Caenorhabditis elegans: one gene and its partners. The protein of the gene in region 2 purifies or fractionates together with the protein of the main gene of each other region. This does not show direct contact. Each region holds a gene or a part of one and is shown on either strand. Other genes may lie near its edges. The genes, in order: madd-4, unc-5 and unc-129.

What was found.
Region 1: the proteins of unc-5 (region 2) and madd-4 purify together in Caenorhabditis elegans (affinity purification with western blotting, with the first as the bait; one study listed by BioGRID). This does not show direct contact.
Region 3: the proteins of unc-5 (region 2) and unc-129 purify together in Caenorhabditis elegans (affinity purification with western blotting, with the first as the bait; one study listed by BioGRID). This does not show direct contact.

What each region holds. Positions count from the first base shown.
Region 1 is NC_003279.8:8,940,407-8,944,160, forward strand, and holds the start of madd-4 (Protein madd-4), read right to left. Parts: upstream 1,882-3,754; 5' UTR 1,799-1,881; coding exon 1,685-1,798; intron 1,643-1,684; coding exon 1,481-1,642; intron 945-1,480; coding exon 828-944; intron 782-827; coding exon 670-781; intron 620-669; coding exon 418-619; intron 162-417; coding exon 156-161; intron 1-155. UniProt on the Caenorhabditis elegans protein: Component of an extracellular matrix cue that is involved in the guidance of dorsoventral midline migrations and in the specification of postsynaptic domains at neuromuscular junctions (NMJs).
Region 2 is NC_003282.8:5,526,386-5,530,139, reverse strand, and holds the start of unc-5 (Netrin receptor unc-5), read left to right. Parts: upstream 1-1,801; coding exon 1,802-1,883; intron 1,884-2,214; exon of another isoform or gene 2,215-2,235; intron 2,236-2,499; exon of another isoform or gene 2,500-2,520; intron 2,521-3,437; exon of another isoform or gene 3,438-3,458; intron 3,459-3,754. UniProt on the Caenorhabditis elegans protein: Receptor for netrin (unc-6) required for axon guidance. Mediates axon repulsion of neuronal growth cones in the developing nervous system upon ligand binding.
Region 3 is NC_003282.8:9,003,676-9,007,429, reverse strand, and holds the start of unc-129 (BMP-like protein unc-129), read left to right. Parts: upstream 1-2,019; 5' UTR 2,020-2,044; coding exon 2,045-2,168; intron 2,169-2,348; coding exon 2,349-2,410; intron 2,411-2,829; coding exon 2,830-3,573; intron 3,574-3,754. UniProt on the Caenorhabditis elegans protein: Required for the migration of axonal growth-cones and distal tip cells (DTC) along the dorsal-ventral axis of the body wall. Acts cell nonautonomously and independently of the classical daf-4, sma-6 or daf-1 TGFbeta receptor signaling.

The DNA of each region.
Region 1 (3,754 bases), on a different chromosome or scaffold from region 2:
ATATTTATCGAGAAAATTCAAATAGAAGTGAATGTGATATAGAAAACAAAAATAAATTGAGAAAAAATAAAAAATCAATAATCCCCGTCATTCTTATGGGGCACACTCTTTCAGCTTACCACACCCTGATTTGGGATCTTTTTGGAAAAACTCACCGGCATCTGAAATTATTAATTAAAATCAAATTAGCAAATCTAATTTAGGAAACGATATAAAGAATATTTCTTGAAAAAGGAAATTGGATATTCAAAAACAATTCAAATTATTAAAATACAAAAGTTAACAGAAATTTGAGTTCGGTTTTTTGTTTTTTAGAGGTTTGTGCTTTTCAAAAAGTACAGACAACAACTAGAATTTAAAACTATTTACGAAACTATGCACTTAAGCATAAATATAAAATAATTTAAAATTTCAAACCTTGAAGGGCAAATCAGCATTGGGCATGGTCTTGCTTCAACTTTCGGTCTCAATTTATCAGCACATAACTTTTCAGGAACAACTCTTCCAGTTATTGCATTTACACATACAACAATTGGTTGACTAGTTGAAGCAATTGAACGTCCAGCACCTGACCAGTCAACTATATCATCACAATTTGAAGCGCATGCAGTGTATTCTTCTGGAAATCTTAGTGTTTTGAGTGATTGTTGTAAATCTTTAAAATTCTACCGGAAACTTTCCAAATGAACTTTCCATTGTCACACGTATCCCCTCGTCCTCCACATACTCCACAGGCATCAAATCGAAAAGATGAACTAATCAATCCGTCACAGCCAACGATCTGAAATTTGGGGAAAATAATAATTAAAACAATTATATTTAGTAACCTGACAAGACCCTTTACTGCAGACAGCTCTACTTGTTGCGGCCTGACACGGCGTTCCATCATCAACTCTCCAAAGAAAATTTGCACCAGTTAAGCGTGATCGGCATACCACTTCGCACTGAATTTTAGTTCTTATTTTTTCACTTATAGGTGCTTGAAAACTGTTCATGTATGATTCACAAACTTTTCAAAAAAAATTCAAACTTTTCAACAATTATTTGGCTTTTTTAAATCTACACTTGAAAACTCAGTTTTCCGCATTTTTTAAAGATTGTTTATATTTAAACACTCTAGGGATTCAAACCTGCAGTACAACTCGAAATTTCTCAGGAAGTCCACATTTTTGGAAAATTTGGAAATTTACCACAACTTTTACAAAATTGTTAGAATGTTATGTATCATGATATGTGGATATTATTGAAATTTAGACCGTTAAAAAATTAATAGTTTGAGAATCCGAAATTTTTTTTTCGACATTCATAAAAAATTGAGAAATCGAAAAAACAACACTCTTGCTGCAGGGCTGAACGTTTTTGCGTTTTTGGTTATTCGGTACATTTGTCCAAATTATTTTTTGACTACTACTACAAAAACTTTTTTTAAATAAATGTTTCTTCACAAGAAAACATTATTTTGAAAGTGGTTCATACATACCTGTCCCCTGGAGACTATTTCCTCTCCTCCACATATTGTATCCCTAGCTAATCTAGATTTTGACTCGCAAGTTTTTTGAGCACAAACTTTGAATCGAACTGATTCTCCTGAGCATTTTGATGTCAAACAACGTCGTAACTGACGAGAAACTCCGCCACCACACTGAAAATTTTTTTTTTCTGAATAGCTTCTCTGTCCGATTACCGTTTTAGTACACGAACTCCAAGGACTCCATGCCGCCCAACTAAGAGCATCCACGTGGAAACTCGCAATAAGCAAGTAAAATAGTAAAAATACTACGGTATATGAACACTTCATTTTCATTCATTTTACACTTTGTTTCATTGTTTTTTTTCCTTTTTTTGTGTAAAAATTAACAAACGCTTGAATTGTCCTTGGCTGCAAATATTTTTTTGGAAGTTTTATAAAAAGAAAATATACAGATGCCGGAACTTGAAGAAAATATTCGAATTTCAAATTACCAGTTAGAAGAGAAAGAATGAAATAGAGATAAATGTATTAAAAGATTTATGTGGGCTTCAACTATTTTTTGGATAGGAAAATTAGAGGGTTCGAAGAAATAGTTATAGAAGTTTTCCACTTTACAATAGCACAGGTGATTCGCCGTTTGTAAAATACTTATGACCTCCAATATTTTAGATGCATTTTGCAAATCGCGAATTTCGCCGCGGGACCATTAACATTTTAGCAGTATTTTGGTAATCGCGACTCTCGGTGATCGCAATTTGCACAATATTTGCGATTTTGCAAGTATTTTACTATATCGCTGGTGCCTCTTGTAGAAGCGCGCGAACTACATTTCATAAGTATTTTAAAACCCGCGAATCACCTGTGAGTTGGTTGAGCCAAATTATAGCACTTTACCTCTGATTAAAACAAAAAGAAATTTAATTAAAAAGAGTAGCTGTAGAGAAAAAAAACATTAACGTAAACTAAGTAAGTGGGCCAACAATCAACAAAAAAAAGCAAGAAATTACAATAAATATTTGGCAAAATTAGTTTGAATTCGTAGAAATTTACTCTCCTATGAACATGTGGTTTCTCAACCCATTCCAACATTTTTTAGTAATTATTTCTAAAATTAGCAATTCATTGATAAGTCGTGTTGAGTAACTCCTAGACAAAAGTTTTTGATAGGAAGCAACAAGGCGAATGGCGAGCCGGGATAGAGGTAGTAACAAAATTTATTCAATGTACTCAAAATTATCTGAAAGAAACAGGCTAAATTTACCTGGAATATATGCCAAATTTTCCAGTTTAGTAATTTATTACTCGTTTTTTTTTTTGGAATTTAGGTACCATCTTAGTCGATGGAACACAAGTTTTGTAATTTTTTTTTAATTTTGAACAACAACTACGTTATTGAAAGCTTTTTGAGGAGTCTCTTGGAGAAGTTTTATTCGTTTAGACCATGATGCAAATCAATTCAAAAACTTTTTAATCAATTCAAAAACTCCACTACTTATTATATGAAAGTTACAAATATTGCAATGGTTAAACTTCGTTGCTCAGGAGAGAAGAAAAGCCAAAAGAAGAGGAGAATGTAGGAAAAAATGTGGAAATCAAATCAAAAAGTGTCAAGGAACACGTTGGTATTCTGACTTCCAATAGACTCGGGCAGCACACTTGGGAAGGAAAAATGAAAATGGAAGAGAAAAAATATTCATGATACCAGGTTGTAATAAAAACTCCAAAAACGATAACTACAAACTTCAAAAAAAGAGCTGAGCAAAGGTTAACCAGTGTCTGACAAAACCCATTCTTTCAACCAGGCATAGGTATTCAATAGTAAACGTTTTTTTTTCTTTTTTTTTGAAAAATGCAGTAAATCGGAAAACTAGGGGCAATTCAAAATGGGAAATCGACGACCAATGGGATTTATGGAATGAGGACATGACTGGAAAAACAAAGAAGAACTGCAAAAAAAAAGAATTGAACTAATTTTTTGGAAAACACAACTATTATAACTGAAATATTTTTGCAGAAGACTATTGAACAAACTTGAAAAGTAAAAAAAAAGTGAGAATGAAAAATTGTAAAAAGAAAAAAGAAATAAAGACAATAGAGTCACCCCTACTTCTTTTCAGGTAACATATTCTGCGACTACAACTCATTTTCTTTTAAAATTTGAAGGGGAAGGTTTTTGAATTCTGACGTCTGAATTTTGGGTTTTTATGAAAACATAAACACATTTCTCACTAAACTCTGGTAAATCTATTCTGATCGACGCCGAAGTCAGGCTAATCGACGCAG
Region 2 (3,754 bases):
TAGTTTTTCCTTCCAACCCATGAAAACCTACAGTAACCCTTCAGGGAATCTCCCGCCTTTACCACGAGAATTTCTCTTTATTATGTTAATTTCAAGTTTTTGAGTTAGGCGGTACTCTTTTCATTCACTTGCTCAAATATTATATTTTCTCACAATTTCTCACATAATCTTGCTCTGCTTGACACATAGGACGATTAACATTGAAAGTTTAATAAAATTATAACATTTGACTTTGAAACAGTAATTTTTTTAAAAAAGAAATGTTCAGATGTCACTAACATTTCAAAAATCATGGTTTATTTATCAAAATAATGAAACAGGCTTTTACAGAAAAAATTGTTCTCTAGCTAACATCTCTAGTGAATAGTAAGTATTTTCAAAGACGACTTTTCTAGAATCTGCGTAACAATGGAATTCAAATTACCACTCCCCATATAATGATCTCTAAAAAATGTTTTTAGAAAAATTTTCCATTTTTTCAGATTCCATGCTTTGTTGTCTTAATTTCCACTATTTTCTATTCCTTCAGAATTCAATCACTGAAGATGAAGCACACATTTTTTTTACAGTTTCAATTGGATCTTTTGTGAATTAAGAGTATTTTTGTTTTATTGAATCCATTATTGTTATTGAGACAATAAAGCTTATGAGTTCCATGTAAGAAAAAGTTGGTCTGAATATTTATCAAATTCAAAATTCTTCAATAATTGAACGGGTATTATTCCAATTCTAATACAACTGTGAAATTATATAAAATTCATCAAAACTATGAAACATGTTTTTACTGGATCAAATTTTCTCTGGATGATTTTTTTTCATCAAAATCAATTTTTTCTGTATCCTGATTATATTCAAACTAAACCAAAGTGTGCAAATTGAAGAAAAAAAATCAACTCCCTTTTTTTAAGTTCGTTTAAAATTCCAATAACCTCCTATTTGTTTGAGAATTTAGTTTCTTGAAGCACAAAATATTGTTACAGTTTCAGTAAGGCTTCTTTTAAATTCAGATTTTTCTCCGACATTGCCTCGTATGATACCTTTGTATTTAATCCGAAAACAAATTCTTGAGTGTTCTATGATTGTAAAAAAGTCAAATAAGTTTTCTATGAGAAAATACAAAAATGTCTCTGTAGGTGAAGTGTAATAACATTGCAAACAGATTTTTACAGTTTTTTGAGCAGCAAGGAGTTTACATATCAGCACGAAACATCACGAAAAAGTTATCTAAAACTTTTTTCTAGATAGTTGAAATTTATAAAATTTATTTGTCTGTTTCAGTAGATTCACTTTATTTAATGCAACTTCAAGACCATAGTCGTATGTCAACAATTGTAACCCCTATATTGTAATTAAATTAAAAAGTTGACTGTTTCACCATGTTTTTTTTCAAAATGTAATTTCAAATAAGTTTTGATGTTCTGTGGTTTTTCGTTCCATTTTTTAAATAAGAAATAATTTTGGATCATTGAAAAAAAATCAGTTTAGAAAGTGAAAAAAATCTATAATTACTAAGTTTACAGACAGAAAAGTTCACTATTTTTTCCAACCCAAATCTAGAAAACATTGAACTCTGTCTGTGGTCTGGTTGGTTGTCCAATTTGTATTTTTCGGACCTTTATCCTTTCTTTAACATCTGGTTTTTATTACAAGAATCGCCGCTCTCTCTTCCTCTTGTTCACATGTCTTCCGTGCTCACAAAAACCTTTTTTATTTCTTCACGGGACCTCCACAATTTTTTCATTTTGATTTTTATTCTTTCCATCAGTTTTTCCTTTTAATTTGAAAATTTGAAATTCTACAGATGGAGGACGACACGCCCGATGTGAGTTCAGATTCCAATGGAGATGCAGCATACAGCGATTATTTCTTGGACTACAAATCAAGTGAGTTTCTGATTTTTGAATTAATCCCTCTTATTTTATCCTACTTATAAAAAAGTTAAGGACTATCTTTTCTTTGTTTAGAAAATATGCCAATGGGTGCCCCCGGCAGGGGGTAACGGGGGTAAATATTAGGAAGTATTAAGAGGGGTCAGTGAATTGTTTGGTGTTAGTTTCAAGGAGCTATGACACTTTTTTTTGATGATTTGTCAGTAAATACTAGATTTGTTTTACTTTTGGTATCTGTATGGCCACGGTTTGAACATTTAAAAAATTTGAAAAAAATTACTGTTTCAGAAATTGTATAAGTATTTTAAATTTCCTTGTGATGTGATTGCGTTTGTTAAAAAAACATTTATAAAATGTTTATATAGTTTTGCAAAAAATTCTGAACTGTTTTCCCAAAGTAAAAATTCCCTCCGACGAGGAGGCAGACTCTCTCGCTTTGCAGACTGCCTTCTGTGTTTTTTTATAAAAACATTTCTTGAAACAATAACGTTACTTTAAAACTTACCTCAAAATTATCTTTGGTTGTAACATTTAAAAATCACGTGAATTTTGCAGAGATTCTATACATTTTCACAATTTTAATAAAGTCTGATCTATGAAACGTTATCAATCACACCTCTCCTTAAAATTGGGAATATAACGGAAAAGTTAACAAATTAAAGTTTAGTCAATATTTCTAAAAATTAACATTTCAAGAAAAATTTGATCAAGCAGTCATAATATACTCTAGCGCTTTCATTGATGGCAGGCAGGCGTTTTAATTTGCCTAACGTCTACCTGCCTTTTGAATATCCATTTTTATTTTGCTCTTTCATAAAATCAAACATGAGTTCACTAGCAGCCGACAGTATCTAGGTCTTGCGACTCATCATAAAACTATAAGTAGGCACAGAAACAGGCAGGCATTCTCTACCTTACTTCAGTTAGTCCCTTTCTCCAATTTCTTCCGTTTCCCACTCACTCATACATCATTGAACCTTTGAGAAGGTGTCCCATCTCCAAAGACACACGTGCCGCCACTTAATCCCAATTCTCGCCAGAACTCTTTTCACCACCACCACCAGTTGCTTCTTCTTCTTCTTCTGTTGTTTTTTTGTGTGTGTGCTCACCTCTTTCCCCTCTTCTCCAATCATCACCCATTCACACCACGGATGACTAGGTCCGATGATTTTTGCCGCCAAATGATATTGTTGTAACGTTTCCTGAGTCAATGATGATGACGACGTACCTGGAGGGGGGGGGGGGAGCGGTATTCTCTTTTTGATGGACCCCCCGTACATTCCCCCACAGGTATACCTTAATGTCAAATGTCAATCAGAACGAAAATATATGTTGTTGCTTTATTAAACTGTTGACATGTGTAAACAGAATATTTTACTTACGCATTAGTTTACTTTATGGCTCATAGATTCTCCAGTTGATAGATGTTGTAAAATTGGGAGAGGTTAATGGGTGAACGGGAGTGGTGTCACCTGTTTTCACATAGTTTGTATTATGACACTGGTTGCGATAAAATTTCAGTTTATAATCTGATAGTGAGGTCCAGCCGCGATAAAAATAAAGATTATACTAATAAATACGAGTATCGTTACAATATATATAAGATAGATGAAACTGTAAAAAATTTGAAATTTTTTTTTCAAATTTTCTTATCAAAATTTATATTCCCGCGATAGCACGGATTTTTAGAAGGACTATCTCACGAAGGCAAATTCTGAGTGCCTGCCTACCTTCAAGCTGGCCGCGCCTGGCTTTCTTATGCAGGATTTTTTAATTTATGGCGGAAATATACATACTTTGATGGTCTAGAAGTTTTAAACGTCATCCGGCGTTCGAAACAAAAGTGAAATATAAATTTAAAGCAA
Region 3 (3,754 bases), 3.5 Mb from region 2:
ATATTCAAGAAAAGTTATCACAGAAGTTCCGTAATGAGTTTTTTCCTTATCAACATGTTCCCATCAACTTCTTAGTTTCTCCTCATTCCCATTGTTCAACATAATTATCACCTCTGACCTTATTCTGCTCTTTTTAAGCACAGGTGTTAATATGCCGTCCATCATATTTGCCCTCCGTCTGCCGCTTTCCTTATCTGACCTTTACATCGCCTTTTTGTATATGTACATAATAATTGTATCATCATCAACCTCCGCCATAAACATGCATGTCTTTTTACCTCTTTTGGCATGTACCGTTCTTCTTTGTATTTTTATTATGTCTTCCTTCCATCTTCCCTCTTTTTTACGGATTTTCGGATTGCGGAAGAAGAAGATGGTCGATAATTACCGTAATGAGGTAATTTGAAACATATTGGACAGAAGAAATACGCGCGGATGCTTTCGGTGGCAAGGTTAATTCGTTGTCTTTGTTTCTGGAATGTCCTTCATAAAAAACACGGATTACCACCTGTTTTTAACGTGGATTAAGATTTTTGGAAACAATTTACTCTGCCTAATTTTTTTGTACATTTAAAAATGTAGACTTACCGAATTCACCGAGCTTGACCAGTTTTAAAGGTTACCGTTCACACTAAAAATTGTTGAAAAAATTTTCGACTAAACCTAATGATTTTATTTTAAAAAATAAATGAAATAGCATACAAATTTGGATTTTTTTCAATTTTTTTCAAGAAAATCATGAAACATTTAGAAAACTCGAGTAACAAGCTTTCCGTTCATTCTGTAATTTTTAAGTTCCAAATTTAAAAAAATGCATTTTGATTTACTGGGATTGCCGTGCTCGTAATTATCAGCAAAACATTTGCCGAATTAGCCGAGCTCGACAATCTATTTTTTCGCAAACTTTTGCCATGTTTCGTAAAACAATTTTCCATTTTATGGTAGACATTTTTCATCAATGAATTCACAAAATTTAAAATCCCCACTGAAAGTACCAAAATCTTCCTGAAAAATCCGGCAAAAAATCCATCTCATTATCATGTCACATATACATGTTCTATTGGCACTATGTTTGGGATGTCCTCCAATTAATACTTCTGTGTCAATCTCATCGGCGCCCGGCGGCCACTACCAAATGCAAAACTTTGTTTGTAAAAGAAGAAGCCAATAATTTTCTCGTTATTCATTTTTATTACTCTTTTTGCGTTTCATTCTTCTTTGTTCGAATTGATGAACGCACGTTGCTTCTCTCTGGTTTTCCTGCCGTTCCTTATATTGCCAAGGAAACCAATGCGGATTTTCGGAAGATTTTCTTCATGTCCTTTAGAAAATATCACCACTTTTCTTCTTTTTCCATTTCAAATTTCAATTTCCATACAACTCATCTTCTATTATAGCTTTTCAGGTGTTCGACTGTTTGAAGATAAGAATCAATTAAAATTTGGTTCACTGAGCATGTCATCCACTTTTCCTTTTCTTTGTTCTAAAATTCACCAAACTGAATTTTCCTTAACCGGAAATTTACATGAAAATAAGAAACATGGATTACATCCTTTACATATCATTTTTGTTTTTTTATGTGTATTCCATGTTCCCAAAAGTTTGATGCAATTTTTGATTCTTTTTCAATTTTCCAAATTCGTGTCTCGCAGGGAACGATTCACAGTCCAACATTCCCAAATTGCGAAATTTTAGAATATATATTCCCAAGCGTCGAATATCTCAAAAATTTGTCGTTTTCTCAGTTTGACATGTCACCTTTGCCGGTTCCTCTATTCGTCTATTAGCTCTCCAGAGAGCAATGTCATGTCACACGAAGAATTCAGGGACATGTTTCGTTTTTTTTTGTTTGCATGTGGTCACCGATATGGGAACTTGAACTTTCCAATTTTTGCTTGCTTTTTCTTTTCCGGAAACTTAATACTATTTGAGAAACTCCGCATCTTATTTGTTTGATCCCAAATTCTGAAATTCCTCTTTGAATTTGATCTCAAGCTTCACTATAAAAAATTGTTTCAGGAAAATTGGAAGAGCAAGCAAGAAAATGAGGCGACTTCCGATTGTCTTATTGCTTTCGGTTTTTTCTATAGCCAACTGTGCAAAGGTGGACGTGGATCTTATTAATGAAACCATTCGAGATCTTCTTCATTTTAAAAGTTCAGATCCAAGTGAGTTATTTTATTTTGAAAAATAATTGTCATATTTGAGCTTCTGAAATGCATTAGACCTCTGAAAGGAAAATGTTGCTCAAATGAGTTAAATCAAAACAGTAATAAACAGTTAACACAATTTCCCTCAAGTTTGATGTTGAAGCGAAAATGAATCTAAAAAATTTAAACAACTTTCAGACGTTACCTCATTCCACCGATCATCACACACTCTCACCGAGCATATGAAAAATCTTTATGAAGTGAGTGTTTTGTACTATTATTATAATTTCAAATAATTGTTTTTCTAATTCATTTTTTAAAATGTGCCCGGTTAAATAAATTTGCGAGAATCCGGAAACATAATTCTTTGTTGAGATGGTTTTTCTGTAAGTTTTCAAGTCGGATTCATTCGATTTCTTCCTGTTCAAATACCCGTGCACTAGGGCTGTGCAACCAAATTGCCGGAAAGTTGCCGAAATTTCAGCTAAAATCTCGGTTCCCTTCAGCCCTGTGTGTGTTTTGTTCTTAGTCAGCGAAACATGTGAACAGAAATAATTTTGTCAGTTTGTGCGTATGCCAGTGCGTGCGTATGCAAAAATTATAATGAATGTTTCAGTAAATTTTAGTAAATTTCTTCACCTTTCTGAAAAACATCATTTTTATAAATTCATTATTTCAGAATTTCATTGACGAAGACTCGAATGAAGATGGTAATCTGGTACGTGCCATTGAGCCGGCAGTTGGAAAATTCGAGGGACAGGAAGTCTTGGTGTTTGATGTTGAAGGATTTGATTCCCATGAATCCATTATGCGTGCAGAGTTACATTTCTACCTCAGAAGACGAGATTCATTTGCAAGAAGACGATCTCGTCAAATTCGGGCAAAGTCGGTTTGTGTGAATGAGTACTGTAGGCAACAGACCTTGAAAAAGATTCGAGTTGGAGGAGATGAGAATTTGGAAGAATATAAAGTTATTTGGGATGCAACAAAATCAGTTTTCGATTCATATCATTTGGATGCAAAGCAAGCAGTATTTCGTATTACAAGAGAACATTCAAAGATGAGACCTTATGCTGAAATGATTCGAAAAAGTACACCATTCCTTGTGATTTATTCTAAAGTTAATCATACTCTGGATACTGTATCAGTTATGAAACAAACTGAACAGACAAAAAGAAAGAGAAGAGATTTGGGAAATGAAGAATTGAGAGAATATTATAATTATAACTCGATTCCATTGGATAATGATGATCGTGAGCCAATAAAGAGAAAGAATGGAAAAAAGAACAGTTTATCTGAGGAAATTTCATCAGAAGATGTTTGGCAAGGTTTTGGAGAAGAGACTTCAAGAGAAGAAAGAGAAAGAATTGCAAATGAAGAACTGGCTAATGATGTTCGAGTTGTGCTTTTGCAAAATAAAAATGTAAGTTAATACAGTTTCTATTTTATAACAGAACCGTAGAACAATATAAACATTGTAAATTTGCTTTCTTTAAACTTTTCTGATAATCTGATATCTCAAAAGTTGGCATCCAATCAGTATTTCCACCGTAATCTATCTCATTCATCCAACAAACACCTCATAAAATCACACCCATCCACTC